Neurospora crassa OR74A: one gene and its partner. The protein of the gene in region 1 purifies or fractionates together with the protein of each later gene. This does not show direct contact. Links are inferred from orthologs where the notes say so. Each region holds a gene or a part of one and is shown on either strand. Other genes may lie near its edges.

What was found. Proteins that work in one complex are often made in the same cells at the same time.
Region 2: the proteins of NCU09843 (region 1) and NCU01675 purify together in Saccharomyces cerevisiae (affinity purification with mass spectrometry, with the first as the bait; 3 studies listed by BioGRID). This does not show direct contact. The link is inferred for Neurospora crassa OR74A from reciprocal best matches to the Saccharomyces cerevisiae genes UTP15 and RRP12.

The regions. Positions count from the first base shown.
Region 1 is NC_026505.1:5,919,866-5,930,757, reverse strand, and holds NCU09843 (WD repeat containing protein 57), read left to right. Parts: upstream 1-4,524; 5' UTR 4,525-4,706; coding exon 4,707-6,377; 3' UTR 6,378-6,806; downstream 6,807-10,892. Other genes in the region: NCU09845 (hypothetical protein), read right to left, coding at 801-1,151, 1,217-1,594; NCU09844 (amidohydrolase), read left to right, coding at 1,944-2,130, 2,195-3,174; mak-1 (mitogen-activated protein kinase MKC1), read right to left, coding at 7,357-7,970, 8,032-8,346, 8,412-8,478, 8,549-8,681, 8,805-8,917. UniProt on the Saccharomyces cerevisiae protein: Involved in nucleolar processing of pre-18S ribosomal RNA. Required for optimal pre-ribosomal RNA transcription by RNA polymerase I together with a subset of U3 proteins required for transcription (t-UTPs).
Region 2 is NC_026502.1:2,740,127-2,747,372, forward strand, and holds the start of NCU01675 (90S preribosome component RRP12), read right to left. Parts: upstream 2,305-7,246; 5' UTR 2,209-2,304; coding exon 2,137-2,208; intron 1,995-2,136; coding exon 1-1,994. Other genes in the region: NCU01674 (alpha-soluble NSF attachment protein), read right to left, coding at 2,722-3,136, 3,210-3,516, 3,605-3,728, 3,802-3,834; NCU01673 (hypothetical protein), read left to right, coding at 4,838-5,557; NCU01672 (DUF726 domain-containing protein), read right to left, coding at 6,165-7,246. UniProt on the Saccharomyces cerevisiae protein: In association with GSP1, required for nuclear export of both pre-40S and pre-60S ribosomal subunits. Required for the late maturation of the 18S and 5.8S rRNA of the pre-40S ribosomes and for maturation of the 25S and 5.8S rRNA of the pre-60S ribosomes.

The sequences.
Region 1 (10,892 bases):
GCAACTGCCCAGCCATCCAAACAGCCGCCCACCAGCCACGTCCGGCGCGACCTCGTCCCATCATGAGGCTGGATATGCCTCGATATCAAAACATACGCCTGATGCTAGTTGCGAACCCGCCTGTCTCGTCTCAGTCTAGCGATCCCGAATCAGGCCTGGCACGTGCGCGCCACATCCTTCCCATGTACAAAAGAGCTCTTCGACGACTGCCCTAGCTGCGGGTACTACATAGCTCTCTTCCTCTGTGATAGAGTTTAGACCACCCGCCGCCGCCGAGTCTCCTCTCGGTGAACCCTCGGTGAACCCTGCGGAATGTATGCATGGATGCACCCCTGCCGCAAGCATCGGACCAGCATTGTTGAGCCACGAGGTTCCCCACTCCCCAGACGTGGACGGGGCCGGCAAGCGGGAACACGGGGAAGATCGTCCCGGACACGTCCCAACGGGTGCCTACCAAACAGTGGCTGAGTGGCTACAGGAGTCGGCGCCGCTGGTTTCGACGGTGGAAGCTTTCTCTCATTGCGACTAGTTCCTGGTATGGGCGGTTAGCGCAAGGACATCAAGCGATTATTTTATTGCTCCGAAAGAACGGCGCCGGTGGACGCGATGAAGTCCATGAAACGAAAATGATCATTCAGCCTGAGCCAGCATGTTCTTACAGACAGGCTGGCCTGTACTGCGCTTTTTCAAATTATACTAAGAGTATGGGATCGTCAACGAGATCCATTGATTGCTATGGAGTGGAGTGGAGAGGAGAAGAGAGAGACTGGCGGAGTCTTGAAGGCTAGAAACGGTGCGGTCTATGAATAGGTCCCTCGCATTTGCGCTTCGAGCATTTGAATAGCATCTACCAGCTGTTCAGGCATGCTCAGAAAAGGGCAGTGGCCTGATTCAAGCGTGACGGCTTTGGCCTCTGGTCCAAGTTGCGCCGCCATTTTCTGCTGGGCGGCCAGTGGTAGCGCATGGTCCTTGGCACAAAAGATGTAAGCACAAGGTATCCCATCCTTCCAAGGCTCGTAGCCACTGGGCGTTGCGAAAAGCGCGGCTGACGTGTGCGTCATCTCGGTCATCCATCTCTGCTGTTCTTCGGCGTTGAGGTCGTTGAACATAACGTCAGCCAACATTTCTTGACGCCCGAAAACCCGGTCGCCCTTTTGATCAGTTAGCAATAGTTGCAGCTGACGTGAGACTCACACACAATGGCGGACCGACTTACCTTGTATTCCATCCACGGGAGAGGTTTTCCACCGAGCATATCGAGCAAAGCCTTGCCATGAGGGATCGCGAAGGTGGCCAAATAGATCATGCCTATGACATTGTCCTGGCCTTTTATCGCGTTGCTGCCAACTAGGCCACCGGAGGAATGACCCAACAACAAGGCTGTCTTGCCCTGGCGGGCAAGCTCGCCGAGCACGTATTGCACCGCTGCAACGTCGTCAGCTAGACGGTGGAGAGGCGTCGCTGTGCTACCAACGGTACGCAGTTCGACATGGATAGCCTCGAAACCTGCGGTGTGTAGTTGTTGCACAAGGTCATTCCAAACGACGGGCTTCTGCCAAGCACCTGGCACGATGACGATGACCGGCTTGGACATGATGCAACTGTGTCGTGAAGGTGTTTTTTTGAGAGGGGTTTCTAGGTAGGCTTGAGGACATATAAAAGAGTGTGGGAAATGCGTTATCGAATAGACGATTTTCCTCTTTTATCTTCAACTAGTTTGGGAGGTCGGTATAGCATAAGATCCCTATACCATCGGCATTCCGAGTATACACTTTTCCGAGATCCCTACTTATACTATCGACATCCTGGTGTATATCAACTTTTCTGAGATCCCTATACGAGCTATTGATACCTTGGGGTACATCACTTTTCCGAGATCCTCATACTATCGACATCCTGGACAAGTATACGTGATATCGCGCTGGTATATAAGCCCCAGAGGCATGTCACTATACCCCGTCGACATGCAGACCAGAATTTCAACCGCCAACCTGCTCCAGTTGCTGGTTCTTTTTCTTCCAACTCGGACTGTTCAGTGCTCTAGCGTAACACGTGCGCCCGCCCCTGAAAACATGACTTCTCAACGAATTGACGTTCACCACCATTTTGTCCCGGAGTTTTATGCACAAGGTGCGTCCAAGGCGGTTTGCATCCGTTCTTTTCTTTTTCCATGGAAGTGCTAACGTTGCCATAGCCTTACGAGCTAACGGTGGTGACCCCTCGGGATGGTCCATCCCGGACTGGAGCCTGGAGAAGGACCTGTCCTTCAATGACGAGCAACGCATATCCTTTGCCTTTCTTACCATCACTGCTCCCGGTGCTGAAATTCTCCCCCTCGTCGAGCAGGCTGGCTTTTGTCGACAAGCTAACCAAGCGGCCGCCGAGATCCGTGCGGCCCAGCCAGCCCGCTACGGCTTTTTCGCTACTATTCCGTCCTTGCTTGACCCCGAGGCTGCCCATACAGAGATCATCCACGCGCTGGATGAGTTGCAGGCCGACGGCATCATCTTGTACACTCGCTACGGATCGGACAACCATTATCTAGGCCACCCGGACTTCCGCTCCACCTGGGACCTGCTCAACAAACGCCGCGCCACCGTCTTCGTTCACCCAACGCACCCCGTGGACACCCACTGGGTCAACCCCTCGCTTCCGCAGCCCATGATTGACTATCCTCACGAAACTACCCGTACCGCCGTCGACCTGATTATCTCGGGCATCATGCGTGAATTCACCGACGTAAAGATCATCCTCTCTCACGCCGGTGGCACCTTGCCCTACCTGGCGCTGCGTCCAGCCGCGGTACTGCCGTACCTTCCACCTTCGATTGCGCCCCCCATTGTTGCAGCAGCAGTAGCAGCACAGGAGGGCCACCACCCGACTGACGTTACCAACCAGTTCATGGAGGACGCCAAGCGGTTCTACTTTGATACAGCATTGTCGACGGGCTCCCATACTCTGTCGCTGTTAAAGGAGTTCGCAAAGCCGGACCACGTGCTGTATGGTAGCGATTTCCCTTATGCGCCGTCGCCCGCTATTGCAGATATGAACGCAAGACTGGACAGGTACGGCGCGGAAAAGGACGAGGCATTTGTCCAGTCCGCTGCGTCGGAGGCTGCGTTAAAGTTGTTTCCTCGCTTAAGCAATGTCCTATCAAAGAATTACTATGCTTAGGTCGCGACTACTAATATAGTTTCACGGTGTTAGAAAATAAAATAAATAAAAAAAGGAATGAAAGGATACACGGCATGTCTCTGTCCGCTATTCTTGTATCTATATCATGAATTAGCCGTGATCTAAACCTCTAGGCCTAGGTCTCAAGGAGAATTCGAGTAGGAGTAGTACCATGTCTCTAGCAGCAGCAGCAGTATGGGTAGGTATCAGCGGGCCTCCCCGTCGTCGTCGTCATAACTTATACTATCCAACTATGTTAAAGCACCAGATTGTAGATAAAGACTAGAACTTCAGTTTGACAACCTGAACACTTTGGTGGCCCTGAGACTTCATTGTGTTCCTTCTCCTTCGTCGGTCATCCGCCTCGGGGGTGCAGTGTCTTCAACCTCATCTGCTCGGCAACTGAGTTGCAGTCATGACAAAGAAATTAATCATGTGATCGGATGAGAAGCGAGTTTCACATTGCTTTTCTCCATCACGACGAGCAGCCAGCGCGTTTGATGATCTCCGAAGTTTGATCTTTTTTTCTTTTTCTTTTCATCTCTTGATGATTTTGTTTTCTCATCTCAAAGTCACGAGTAAAAAAAAAAAAACAAACTGCGAGTAGCCGGCTTGTGACGTTGGTGTTTTTGTTGCACAAACCGTTATCAGTTTCATACGAGTTGTCCAGGCGCTTGTTATTGACTGAATGGAGTGTAAAGAGAAAAGGTTGTGACTTGTAATTGATATTCTCCGTCTTCACTCTAAGCTTAGCTCATGGTTCAAGTAGTTTTCATACGCGCTTCGTTATAAATACATCTGTGGCTAGATAAAACATTCAAGTCATCATCAATACGCACGCTGTTGTTGTTGTTGTCAGCAACAGGTTACTAGACTACCAACTCGCTACCATTTCGAGGCCAATGCTCCAGATACACATCCCTAATGACATGTTAATCATAGATTCACATACCGAGGAGATGATGATTGTCAATGAGCGTGTCATGCATCAAAATACTCTTGGATTTTTACTCCAGTCAATTAATTATATGTCAGTCGACTGTCTCCAGTTGATAAAGGCGACAACTTACACGACTTACAATCACGACGGCGGGGATGCAGCACGATAAGATAACGCCAAACATTCACACGACATGGAAGCCCAAGCAGACCAATCAAAAGAAGGAACTTGTGAAGAGGACGGGACCCTGGAAGCTTGGCGTTTTCTGGCCTGGGGCTGGTCACTATGGTACCTAGTCGCTGTAGGTAAACTTTATCGGCTTGGCGGGGCCTCCAATCGATGGCTCCAACCAATGGCTTTTGCATCGCATCGCCGTCAAAAAAACTAAAATTCCCACTTGGAGATTTCAACAATTCGTGAACTTTGAGCCCCGCAAAGTCACCACCACGACAAGACCTCGACGCGTGCCTCCCTCCCCCAATCCGATTTCGACCCTAATCGACTTCCCCCGATTCCGATAACCGAGTATCCTCTCTTCAACACTACCCGAACTAGACGGAACGAACCTACCACCCATAACCAATCCGTAACCATGGCAGCCGAAGTGCAGCCGCTGGCGACGCTCAAGTTGCCCACGGTCGTCAGCCCCATCACGGCCGAGCAGCGCTACTGGAAGTCCTTCAAGAACCAGAAATCACACACCTCGACGGCAGCATGGCCCATCTCGCACATCAGCTTCCCCGGCTCCAGCAACGGCTCGGCCGCCTCGCACTCCCTCGTCGCCGCCGCCAAGACCAACGACCTCTTCGCCGTCACCTCGGGCCCCCGCGTCGACATCTTCTCCATCCGCAAGCGCGAGCTGCTCAAGACCATCGGCCGCTTCGACTCCCAGGCCCACAGCGGTGAGATCCGCGCCGACGGCCGCGTCCTCGTAGCCGGCGAGGACTCCGGCAAGATGCAGGTCTTCGACGTCGGCACCGGCACCCGCGCCGTCATCCTCAAGACCTGGCACGTCCACAAGCAGCCCGTCTGGGTCACCAAGTGGTCACCTACCGAGCTGACGACGCTCATGTCCTGCTCCGACGACAAGACGGTCCGTCTCTGGGACCTGCCCTCCAACGCGCCCTCGCGCCTGTTCGCCGGCCACCAGGACTACGTCCGCAGCGGCGCCTTCATGCCCGACCGCAACAACCTCCTCGTGTCCGGCTCCTACGACTCGACCGTCCGCGTCTGGGACGCCCGCGCCCCCGCCGGCTCCGTGCTGACCTTCAAGCACGCCGACCCCATCGAGGAAGTCCTCCCCTTGCCCGGCGGCACCACCCTCTTGGCCGCCACCGGCTCCGCCATCTCCGTCCTCGACCTCGTGGCCGCCAAACCTTTACGCCTCATCACCAACCACCAAAAGACCGTCACGTCACTCAGCCTCGCCTCCAACGGCCGCCGCGTTGTCTCCGGCTCTCTCGACGGGCACGTCAAAGTCTTTGAAACCACCAACTGGAACGTCGTCTCCGGCTCCAAGTACCCCTCGCCCATCCTCTCTCTCTCCGTCGTCGCCGCTGGCTCAGGCCACGAAGACCGCCACCTAGCAGTCGGCATGCAATCCGGCGTTTTGTCCTTGCGCACCCGTTTGTCAGGCGCCACGGCGGAGAAAGCCCGCGCCCGCGCCGCCGAAGACGCGCTCATGGTTTCAGGTGCCTCTTCCAAGCTCGCCAAGATCGACTCCGCCAAAGCCAAGCGCAAGCGCAACGCCGCCTCCAACAAATCCATGGCCTTGCTCGGCGAAAACGTCGACGTGATCATCCCCACCGACGCGCCCAACTCCGCCGGAGGCCGCAAGCGCCGCGTCAAGCTCAAGCCGTGGCAGCGCGACTTTCGCGAGGGCCGGTACGCCGCCTGTCTGGATGCCGTGCTCGACCTGTCCTCTCCGGAATACCAGCCCGTGACGGCCCTGTCCGTGTTGGTGGCGCTGCGCCACCGGTCTGCCCTCCGCGAAGCCCTGGAAGGCCGCGACGAAGTTACTGTCCTGCCTTTGTTGAAGTGGGTCATCAAGTACATCTCGGATCCGCGGTACGCGACCGTGTGCGTGGACGTGGCGTTCCAGCTGTTTGATATCTACAGCGAGTACGTGGGCGGCAGCTCCGAGTTGGCGGATCAGTTTGCTGTGATGACGGGTAAGGTGAGCAGGGAGGTGGAGAAGGCGCAGATGGCGATTATCACGAATGGTATGGTGGAGAGTTTGATGATTGGTGGTGCTGAGGCTTAGGAAGCTGAGCGAGCTTCGGACAAGGCCCTTGAGGCTGCAGTTTGACCAGAAGAAGGTCATGATGGTTGGAAGGGAAAGGGAATGGAAAGATACGGATGAGCTGTGTGGATGGATGGAGCATAAGAAAGATGTAAAGAACGGATGGGATGTGTTGTTATACCACAAAGCAGGAAGGACGGGGAAGGGGGAAAAAAATGGAGAGGGTAAAGGATCCCGGATGTGTTGGTTCGGTTTGGTTCGGTTAGGTATCATGGTTTTTTCTTGATATCAAGCCCTGCATGGCGTCGGCGTTCAAACATTCTTTTTTGGCTTTTTGTACTAATCTGGGCTCACAAAAGTATACATACGGTCACATAAAATAAGGGGTTGGGACTAGATACCTCGAGATAGATACCTTAGGAGAATCAGTAAAAGCCATTCCAAATGCCAGGCTTATTGCGTGACCATGGACTCTTCTGGACGACGCCACCACGATCAAGAGCTTTATTGCAGTGTCAACATTCAGCGTATCCAATAGAATTATGACTATAAATGACAACGTAAACATCTCGCTCCAAAGTCCTCGCTGAAGATCGCTTCAACTTTCCACTTAGTCATAGTCCTCCCTCCTGACTAGGAGAATAGAATGAGATACAGAAAGAGTCTCTCCGGTGAGCCACTCACCACCCTCTGGTATCTGGCCAGACATCGAAAAGAACTCCCGGTCTGCCTCTGACGCCTGCTTTTCCAAGTGCCTTCCTAGGGCTGACTGTTGACAGCCCGACCAGAACTGCTGTCCCACTCTGTCATTGAAGACCGCCTCAATGGCGAGCCGTTCCCTTCTCGGGGGGTTTCCAACACGATAATACTATGTCGTCGTCTTTTCTGTTTTTTGCAGCCAAGGCATCAACCCAAGATGTGTTTGAGCATCAGATGCTTGCCGAACCAGCGTTTCGTTCTCATTATCGTATATAGAAAGGTTTCATCCTTCCGTCATTGCTTACATGCCACCAAGCTCGGCCTCCAGGCCACCGTTGTACGCGCCATACTCATGTGGCCTAGGATCTTCAGCAGTCCATTGTTGGCTGTGCACATCAGTAGGCATGGGCACCTGAGCGGGAGCCTGGGGTTGAGCACCGCCCTGTCCTTGACCACCGGGCACGGTGCGCACAAGCTGTCTGAACCTGAAGACTTCATCGAGAATCATCTTGCGCATCTCGCCGACATCATCGACAACCTCAAAGTCGAAGTTGAAGGGGGTAGGGCAGTCGGGCTCGTCGCTGGCATCGTGCCAGATGGCAAGGTAGGGGTGCTTGAGAGCATCCTCAACGCTGATACGGCTGGTAGGGTCGAAGGCGAGCATGCGGTCGAGGAGATCGAGGGCGTCGGGGTTGGCCTGGGGGAAGAGCTGCTGGAAGGACTTCTTGGGCATGGGAGGCAGGTTGCGGACGTATTCCTGAGCTCTAGGAGAGCCGATACGGGAGAGGGTCTCCTCATTCGGTGTGCCGAGGATGTGCAGGATCTGGTTCAGCTGATCGACGTAATCTCTGCCCTTGAAGAATGGGCGGCCACCGAGAAGCTCGGCAAGGATACAGCCAACGGACCATACATCAACTAAGGAATGAGTGTTAGCCTGAAAACGATATCAAGGGGGCAGCTTGAGGAAAAGACATACTGGCTTTGGTATAGTTCTGGAAGGACAACATGATTTCAGGAGCACGATACCATCTCGTGGCAACGTACTCCGTCATGTAACCTGCGTTCTCCTCGGGGTCGACGGAGAAACCACGCGCAAGACCAAAGTCGCAGATCTTGAGCTCGCAGTCGGCATTAACCAGCAGGTTACCGGGCTTGAGATCACGGTGCAGAACGTTTGCCGAGTGGATGTACTTGAGACCGCAAAGAATCTGGTAGATGAAGGACTGGAAGTGGGCGTCTGTAAGTGGCTGACCGGACCTAATGATAGCAGCAAGATCGCACTCCATCAACTCTGCAAAAGAACCCCCAGGTTAGTATGTAGGCCCATCTTCTCGTGAGGCATGAGCCATGACGTACCCTCGTAGAGATAGGTCTCGTTGAACATCTCTGGCCGGGGAATGTCCATATCGTAGAGGCAGGTAATCTAAAGAACCAGAAATCGCCACGGTCAGCTACCATGCATCGATTGTAATATGTGTATGTGAGCAACCTACGTTACGGTGGCCCCTGAAGTGTTGGAGGAGCTTGATCTCGCGCAAGGCGCGCTTGGCTAGGATCTTTTTGCTGAAGACATTGGTGACCTTTTTGATGGCGACTCCCTCGTTCGTCTGGGTGTTTACGGCGGCGCTGTTTAGGAGGAAAGGGAGGTCAGCTTGAATCATGAGAATATGGCATGACACATGTAGATGCGCCGCGGCCCAAAAGCACAAGCGGCTAAGCAGGAACGGGAGCAGGAGCAGGTGGACGTACCAGACAATGCCATAAGCTCCCTGACCGAGCTCCTTGGTGACGGTGTAGCGCTCGTCGACAATAAAGTCCTGATTGAAGACCTTGAAGATCTTGCGACCCACGAGATCAGCCATGGCGAATGTGTCTGTGTGGTGTTTCGGGGACGGTTCGTAGTTGGAGAGAGAGGTGGTTCGGGTGACCTTTAGGCGCAAGTTTGGCAACGGCCTGGAGGTGGTGTCGTGGGGTATGTAAGCTCAAGCGCGATCAATGTCTTGAGAAGTTCGGACGGGGGTATTTGAGAAGTGTCGAGGAAGAGTATACGGGACAAAAGTAAGATGTAGATTGAAAAGGCGGGAGCAAGGCAATAGACAACCGGCTAATGTAGCATTGAAGCCAGGCAGAGATGGAGAGAAAGAAAGAAAGAGGAAAAAAGTGGTGATGATCAAATGAGGTTTGCAGAGGGTAGGGTGGTCCTTGGCACAAGTACACTACTGAAGAGTCGGAAGCCCCTGGGATACTGTAGTCTAGTGCGTGATGGGATATATGTGTGCCACCTACTCGGGCAATTTGCTGACTGGGCCGGAGCTGAGCTTGCGCTTTGGCTTCAACTTGGTGCTATTGATTGCTAGTTTACGGTTGGCGTATTTTAAGAGAAGCAATGGAGACGGGATTCGAGCAGCTTAGGTTGTTTAAACCGACGATGGATATCATTGAAAGTGGAAAACGAGCAGTGACGAGGGGAGAGCTTGAAGAGAAGCTCGTGTTTAGCGAAGTCAAGGACCTGCTTGGCCGTGGACCTCAATGGTGCAGTGGCTACCTAGGTCCCCTGGGCTCGAAGCGGACACTGGAATGGTGAGGAGAGGAAAGAGGGGCGCCGAGGGACCCCGACCATGCGACCGACCACTGCGCTGATCCCGGCACCAGAACGGGACCTGAGCGAGGGGCTGTCTGTGAGGCAACGCGGGGTCCGCTTCCATTCCCAAGAGCCCGCCAATGTCAGCGGGCGCAAAAGTGCAACAAACCAACGTGACTGACGAATGGCGGCTTGTCGGTTCCTGACGAATGATGGCCGTTTTCAGGCTTGTCGCTGGTTGCCTCTTTTCCTGTCCTTCTTTCCACTTTCCCATCCATCATTGCCCAGGGGTACTAAGTACCTACTCATTGCTGAACGTTTAACTCGTCCAAGACTTAGGTAGTTTCCATTGCTTACAATGGCGGCCTCTCTCATCCTTGAATGCAATGAAATCTAGGCCCGTGAGCATCGCATTAACAACTATAAAGCCATAAAAAACCACCCCCCCGTCGAAACAGAACAAGGCCATTACCATAATGCTTGCCGCCTTGAAACAAAACAAAAACACACCGAGAATTCAAACAGAGGGATCGCCTGGCTTGGGGGCGCCTGTTTTGGGCGGCGGTCTCCCCTTGCCCAGTCAACAAATGTTACTGCAAAGTCACTCCACAGCGGAAATCACAAGGGAACGGTACCTGATTCTACCCCACCCGCTGCGTCCCCGCTGTGATTTGCAACCCTCCTCCGGCGGCCATTTTTGGTTTTGGCGCGCGACTACGGCCGCCTCCCCACTGGCCGGCGTCTAAAAGATTCGCAATCATCACTACCATCATCTCGATGAGTTCGAAGGGGGAACGCATTGTTTACGGATCGTTGCTTGCTGCTTAAACGAGGTGGAAAATCATAAAGTTTGATTGTCCATGTACACTATGCCTCGGCAGATCTTGGCTTTAACTGAGGGCGTCAAGGTGACGGTTTGCGGACAACACCGAATTGAAAGACCTGGGAGTGCTTACCTCTGGGCCCGGGCAAGGCAAGCTCCGGGGCTGAGCTTCATCCGTGATCCGGCGGCCGTCCGGACGGCGGGCCCTCTCCGAACCCTCGCCTTGAATTATAATCTCCCAACAGTCTTTTTTTAATGGTGAACTGCCGTCAACCAGCATTGGAGGATTTCCGAAAGGACAGGATCCCAGTTTTCCCCTGACCCAACCGGCCGGCTGATGCCGACAACATGTGGCCGCACTGACTCCCTGGTCGTTCCTGGACTTCCCCAGTGCCGTAGGGCTGATGCAGTTTTAGATGCATAGACTTGGTCG
Region 2 (7,246 bases), on another chromosome or scaffold:
GTGTGCGCGGCAGAAGGCATGTGATCGGCCTTCTGCTGTTGTTGGGGCTTCTTCTCAACAGCCTCTTGAAGAGCCTCGGCGAGCTTCTCGCACACCATGTCGAAAGTCTCGGTAAGACGCGCGGGAGGGATGATGCTGAGGTAGGCGTTGATGGTCTGGAGGACAGGGCCGCGCTTCTGGGGGAGAGTGGTGCTGTAGACGTTGAAGAGAACAGCGAGGAAATCAGCTGCAAAGGTGGCTCCGAGGTACTCCAAGTTCTTCTGCGCCTGCTCCTTGCTGACCCTGCCAAAGAGAATGAGGTCATCGACCTCATCGGAAGTGGCGATGGCCTGGTTGGACTCAACAACGGTCCTGAGGGCGCGACAAATATCCAAGCGCAGGTCAACCTGCTCATACAAAAGGTTGGTCAACATCTCAGCGAAGCCTGTGTCAAAGGCCTCGACAAGATCAAGTGGAAGGTCGCAGTAGCCGGGAAGAATCGACCAAATTTGCTGAACAACAGTCTCGAAAATCTTGATGTGAATGTTCTTCTCGCCCTGGTGCTCAATCACACGCTGGAACATGATAGCACTGAGAGGAACCAATTCGCTCTTGAAGTGTGCAAGATTGGTGTTGGAGGTGTAGTCACGGAGAAGAGGAAGCATCCAAGCTCTGCCAGGCTGACCCTTGACGGGCTTCGCGAGGTTCAGGGGAAGAACATTCAAGACCGCCTCAGGACCCATTGCACGAATCGCCTTGCCAAGGACCTCGTCGGCTTCCTGCTTTCCAGCGAAAGAATCGTTACCGCGGATTTCGCCGATGCTCTTGACGACGGAAAGGAGGTAAGGGTTAGCCTGCCACCGAAAGGCATCGAACATGGCACCAAGAACGTTGAAAGTCTCCATCCAGGCAGCTTGGTACTGGACGGTGAGAAGGCCCTCGACAACCTTGACTAGTTGCTGAATGACCTTCTCGTCAAAAATCGAAGGCTCAAGGATGGCCTCCTTGGGGACACAGTTGGCCAGGAAGGAGACCAAGCACTCGGACGCCGAAACGCGAATATTCTTGTGCTGGGACTCGAGGTATCCTGCAACCAGAGTGAAAGGATCGACCAGCTCTTGGAAGGTCTCGGCGGGCGAAATCTGACCGGCAACATCGTAGGCTCTCGACAGAATGGCGATCCAGGGAGGGAGAAGCTGGGTATCGTTGGGCGCGGGACGGAGCTCTCTGATGATCTCGAGCAGCCGAGGAAGCTTGGCGGAGGCAACCTCGTCGGCGGCCATGCCCTCGAACATCATCTCGAAGATCTCGAAGACAGCCATGCTCATGTGCTCGTTGCCCGTCCGGGCAATGCTGAGAAGGAGCTCGCACAAAGACTCAATGCTCTTGCTGGGCCAGCCACCGCTTCCAGAGGCGACAGCCTTGACGAGTTGCAAGGCGTGGATAAGCTCGGGATCGTGGGTAGAGTCGGTAGTCTTCTTTTCCTTCCTCTGGGCGGCGGCCTTGTCAGCGACAAGACGGAGGCTCTGCATGGCTGTCTCGGCGCACATGGGGGCGGCGGGGTGGTCGAGAGACGGGCTCGGCGGAGGGTTCTTCAGGATGTTCCTGAGCGCTTCCTGGGCTCTCTTGCGGACTTTGGGACGCGGGTCGAGGGCAAGGGCGAGGAGGCCGGCCACAGCCCGGCGGGGGCCAATCTGGGCGGTACCGAGCTCCCACTGTGTCGCATCTTGAGCAAGGAGCAAGCTCTCGAGAGAGCCGATCGAGGCCCTCATGAGGGGAGCATCGGCATCGGGGAGGGATAGTACTGGCGCGAGGATGGTGATGATCTGAGTGAACTTGGCCTGAAGAATAGGCTTTGGAGCGAAGGGAGTGACGACATCGAGGAGGTAGACGACGGGGGTCGCGAGGTTTTCGTTGTTGAGTAGACTGAGAAGGGCAGCGAAGTAGGCGGTAGGAGTCGCGGGTGTATTGCGCTCCTTGAAGGTGGCCTCGATAGCCTCGAGGACACTGGCAGTCTGTGGCTCAAGTCAGGGTCCATTGTCCACGATGGAGGCGGCCTTGCGACAGGCCACTGCAATGGCAGGCTGGAAGGAAGAGGGTAGGGATGCAGAAGACAAAAGATGGAAAAAGGAGAGATGCATCATGACTCTGGCTTACCTGCTTCTGGCTCTGGAGATTCGGAGACCGAATCTTGTCCAGTTTCTCCTGCAAAGACGGAGAAGAAGCCATCGTGAATGTGATGGAATGGCGCTGGAGTGGGACAATGCAAGCCGCTTCGCAGTGCTGAAATCGATGTCATGAAGAACAGAAAAGTTCGAAAAGTTGTCGCTTATCGGCGCGCACGCCCCACCCGCTGTCATTGATAAGGGTCTGGCGCTAGTCCGAAGCGGCTCCCAACTGTAACTCCAGGGTTAGCTATGGCATCTCATGCTTATAGAGGTACCTATGTTTCGCTTGGGCAGCCATCAAGGTTATGAGATACAACAATTCATGTTGGATCGTACGAACAACGCGTACCCACTAGGAACAAGTTTCTATTGCTTTAAGCCCATCTCTACCCCAGACAGCAGGTTTGTTTGGGTCTTCCGTAAATCACCAAAGCGTCGATGACCGTATTCATGATATGACAGTTCATCCCCCTCCCAACCAGAAAACGCCGGTACGATAACAAAGAAAAGAAAAAGGAAAGAAGGAAACCAGAAAGTGATAAATGGCTGTATATCACAAGTTCCTCCACCCTGTTTATGAAAACTCGTTGTCTGCCTCCTCAAAGTTGTTCTTGATCTGGAGAAGAACAGCCGCCTTCCAGTCATCGAGCCGGCTCATCTTATCGTACGCGGCAAGCTTATCCTGGAACATCTCGAGGTTGTTGTTTGAGGCTGCTTCCAACAAGTCAACCAGGAGTTGGTATTCGCGCTGGCCCGTAAATGATGGGTCCTTCTCGGCATACTTGGTGATGTTACGCTGAGCAGTGACCATATCCTTGGTCGCCAAGGAGCAGAGACCGGCCTTGAGGAAGTACTCCTTGACCGAGTACCTCATCAGGTTGTTGCCGAGTGAAGCCTCCGCAACCTTCTCGAACTTCTCTATAGCGGCGAAAAAGTCGCCCGCGAGGGCAGAGAGGTCGGCCACCTTGAGCCACAGCTTGTTCGCAAGACTACACACAGCTGGTTAGAACGACCTGTTGGACTCGTAACATGGCGCAAAAGCCGTGGGCATTAATCACTTACGCGACAGCACCGTCGTTCTCATACCACTCGGCCGCAGTTGTATAGGCCTTGATAGCCTCTGGCTTATTCTGCAGCTCGTTTTCGTAGACCTCAGCCTGGTTCTCCTTGTGCGACGCAGCTCTCCGGAAGTTCCCCGCCATGGTATACTGCTTGATGGCAACCTCGACGCAGCGCACAGCATTATCCGGGGCATCTTTCCTATAGACCTTGAAGGCGTCCAACATGGCATTCGCCGCATCGTTGGGCTCCTTCAACTTCTCAGTGAAGATCTTGGCAGCTTCCTCGAAACACTTGCCGGCCTCGGTGTCTGGGTAGTGGGCAGAACGTTAGGACTTGCCGCGAGGTTCATATGGCCCGAAAGCGCATCGTGGGTGTTGATGATTGTGATGACGTACTTGACTTCTGCAACCTGAAAGCGTTGGCCGCTTGTATGTACTGATCCGCCGCATTTTGGTACTTGTCTTCCTTGTTTCCGAACAGACCCCAGCCTTTGGACGCGCTCGCGAGGGTCTTCTCTGCCTGGTGTTCGCATTCGGCATCAGCAAGGTGTCGCGAAAGTGTCAGGAGGTGCCAGGAGGGGCAGGTTTCAAACCTCTTGTTGGAGAACGCGCGGATCGACAGCCATGAAGGGCAAGTTATTAGACGGTATATAGATGGGCAAAGTTCTAAGTTGGAGTCGCGTCCGCTGTATGAAGCCGATTGATGGGTGTCCCAATTGTTCGGAATCGGGCGCGCTCGAAGAAGCTCAGGTGTTGGTCGGGATGGTGTCGTGTTGGTGGTTGCAGGAGCCCGAGGTGTTTCGTTGTCTCCCGGGGTAAGGTATGCGGGCATGGGATTGGGGGGTTGGCCGGTACTCGTGCTCCGCCCCCACTTTTTTGGGTCTCGCCAAACTCGCACCAACTAAAGTTGGTGCTCACGACTGCAACGGCCACACCAGCGCAACGGCCAGGTTAGGGTTAGAGGTGCAATTTCGGGCTTGATTTATAGGCCAGAAACATAATCTTTCTAATGTATTGGCTTTTCTAAGCAGAAAAATGCTTCCTATATACGATGTACTTCCCTAATTATACTTATAGTATTTTACTTATCTCAATTGGTTGTTGTGATGAGTTACAAGCTTCTGATATCTTGATGCTGAACTATGCTCACTATGGTGGCCGTTGTGGTGGTGTGGCCGTTGCAGTCGTGAGCACCAACTTTAGTTGGTGCGAGTTTGGCGAGATCCAAAAAAGTGGGGGCGGAGCACGAGTATTGGGGGGATGATCACTTTAGCGGGCTGTGATCGCTGATGCCGGCTCGCCAAGCCCTTGACGCCTGAGCAGGTTCCCTGAGGGCTGGTAGCTTGCCTGACCAAGTGGCCCGGTGGCAGGGGTCTAGCCTTCAACCTACCAAAGCTCAGCTATGACGCCCAATAGGTAGGTACCTCGCAAAGGATGTCTCGTCCTCTTTCATCTCAACCTCTCATATCGCGACATTTTACCAGAGCCTCACCTGAAACCACCCATTAAAGCATCAAATAATCTCCAAGCCACATCATATGCAAACCTCATAGAGCAACGCAAGTCAACATCTCCCTTTCAGCTATACTACCTTGAAAACCGAGGCATTTTCTTCCCATCAAGGCTATCATGACAACAAAAACCATCTGCCGCGCCTGCCACCGCGCAGCTCTTTCAACCTCCTCGGCCCTCTCAGCCTGCTTCAGCTCCAACTCCAGCCAGCCATCAACCCGTGACTTCTCCCGCTCACGATCTTTTACAACCGAAACCTTCCCTCAATTCACCGCCCGCGGCGGCTCCTCCAAACTCCCTCCACCATCACAAATCAGCCCATCAGTCATCCTCTCCACGCCAACCTGGTCCGTCCGCTCTCTTCTTCCTCCATCATCCACACCATCCTCGTCAACCCAACCCGAAGAAAGCGAAATAACCCCCCAAACTCTGCACCACCTCGCCCGCCTCTCCGCCCTCCCCCCGCCCTCCGCCTCCGACCCTGCCTCCACCACCCGCCTCCTCTCGGCTCTGCACTCACACCTGCACTTCGTGCGGGCCATCCAGTCGGTGGATACCACGGATCCGTCAGATCAAGCCAAGGAGCTGGCGCCCTTGAGTTCGATCCGAGATGAGTCTCCGGAGGGACTGGCGGACAGCACAATTGATCTGAAGATGCTTGAAGGGGCGCTGGCGGAGGAGGATATTGTTGGTCATTGCCTGCGGCCGAGGCGGAGAAAGATGGAGGAGCTGAAAGAAAAGAAGAAAAATGAGGCTGAGGATTGGGATGTGTTGGGATCAGCTGAGCAAAAGGTTGGGAGATACTTTGTTGTCAGGAGTGGGAAGAAGGGGGAGTAGATGATCAAGGGGAAAATGGCCGAGATTCGTCTCGCGCGCCCTGGAGAAGGCATAAGGGCTGTGGTCTGCGTGGTCTGACTATATAGGAGGGCTCTGTATCTGCTAACTGATGCCGAACGTGTGGAGAGCCTGGAAGATTTGGAATAGGACGGAAAACCTAATGCGTTGATACAACACGCGGGGCCGGGACTTTCAGGCCTTTCAGGGAACCGCGTCAGATGCCCAGCCTGTCTGTACTGGGAGTTCACGTCTTCCGAGGGGTATTCAAGGGACAAGAATCACTGAGTGAGGGACTACCCGACGCTGTTGCGATGCAAACGCCACACTACAATATTTGATTGCTGTATCATACTAAGTGTGCCCTACCCAGATGATCCACATCGGCCGCCAGAGATTACTCTGGTATAGAAAGCTAACTGAACTGAAGCTAATCCTACAATTATTTAGATAACGTACGAATTCTGTCTCATTTCTTATGAGCCCTGCGTTGCCACCCCCTTGTCGTTGTCATAACATAAACATGAGCAGGAACTTAGGTCCCAAGAAAGCCAAAGTTAAACGTTCACCAATTCCCCCTCCCCTCCTCCCGACGAGTCGAATTCAGCGTTCACCTCTTGTTCTTCTTCCTCATCCGGGTCCTGATAATACCCGGATCATTTTTTGCAGCTTCCTTCGCCTTGTCTATCACCACAATTCCACGCTCGACGGCGTCTCGCTTCTTCTCACGCTCTCGCACCCTTTCTTCTGCGGCTACCATGGCTGCCTCATCTCGGCTAACCTGCTCTTGGTTGATGTCCTCCCAGTTGATGTGCTTTAGGATGCTACCGGCGAGGTACTGGTATCGGAGATGTCCACTGACCTTAGCAGAGACATCAACATTCTCGACACCATCAATACCCTCGATCCGCTGCAAACCTGCAACGCCAAACTGGATGCTGCTCGTCCGATACAAGAAGCCCAACAGGTAATCGTTCTCTGAAAAGACATTGACAAGCCGGCCAGAGACTACGCTCCTCATGGTACACCAGACGCGGGCCTCCGAGGGTGCGGGCGTACCCATCATGACGGCGTTCTCGACAAGACCGAAAGCTCTGCGCTCCGCCAAGACCATCAAACAGACATAGATCGCACGGGCGCCGAGACTGTAACCGATCAGCGTCACTCCACGCTCTCCGTGGGCTTTGTTCATGATGGCGTCGGCGAGAAGAGTTCCGGCCTTGTCGGCGCGGACCATGCCGACGCTCCAGGGATTATCGATAATTTTGTTGATCTTGAGCAAGCCGAGTGGCCAAAGGGATTCCGTCATGCTGGTGAAAACTGGACCATGTTTGTTAGCGCGTCTCGAGAGGTTACACTTTGGGATATTGAAAGGAGGCTCACTGGTCCGAGCAATGATTTCCTTCTTTGCCATGGACCATGCCGAGCTCCTTACGACAGTCTCCAAAGCTGTACCCATCTTCGAGAGCGAGTCCACCTCCCATCGCACAGCGTATACCTCATTCGCCTGTCCTAAAGCCCTCCAGGGGTTAGTGACGTCCGACTCGTCGGTCAGCCATCCACTAATGGCCAGCACTACTCGGAGACGACGGGCATCTGGCTGGATTTTGCCAATCTCGCCATCTTGGCCAATAGAGCCGCGCATGGGGATGAAAGCGAAGTCCTGTATCTCCTTGGTACACTGCTCCATCA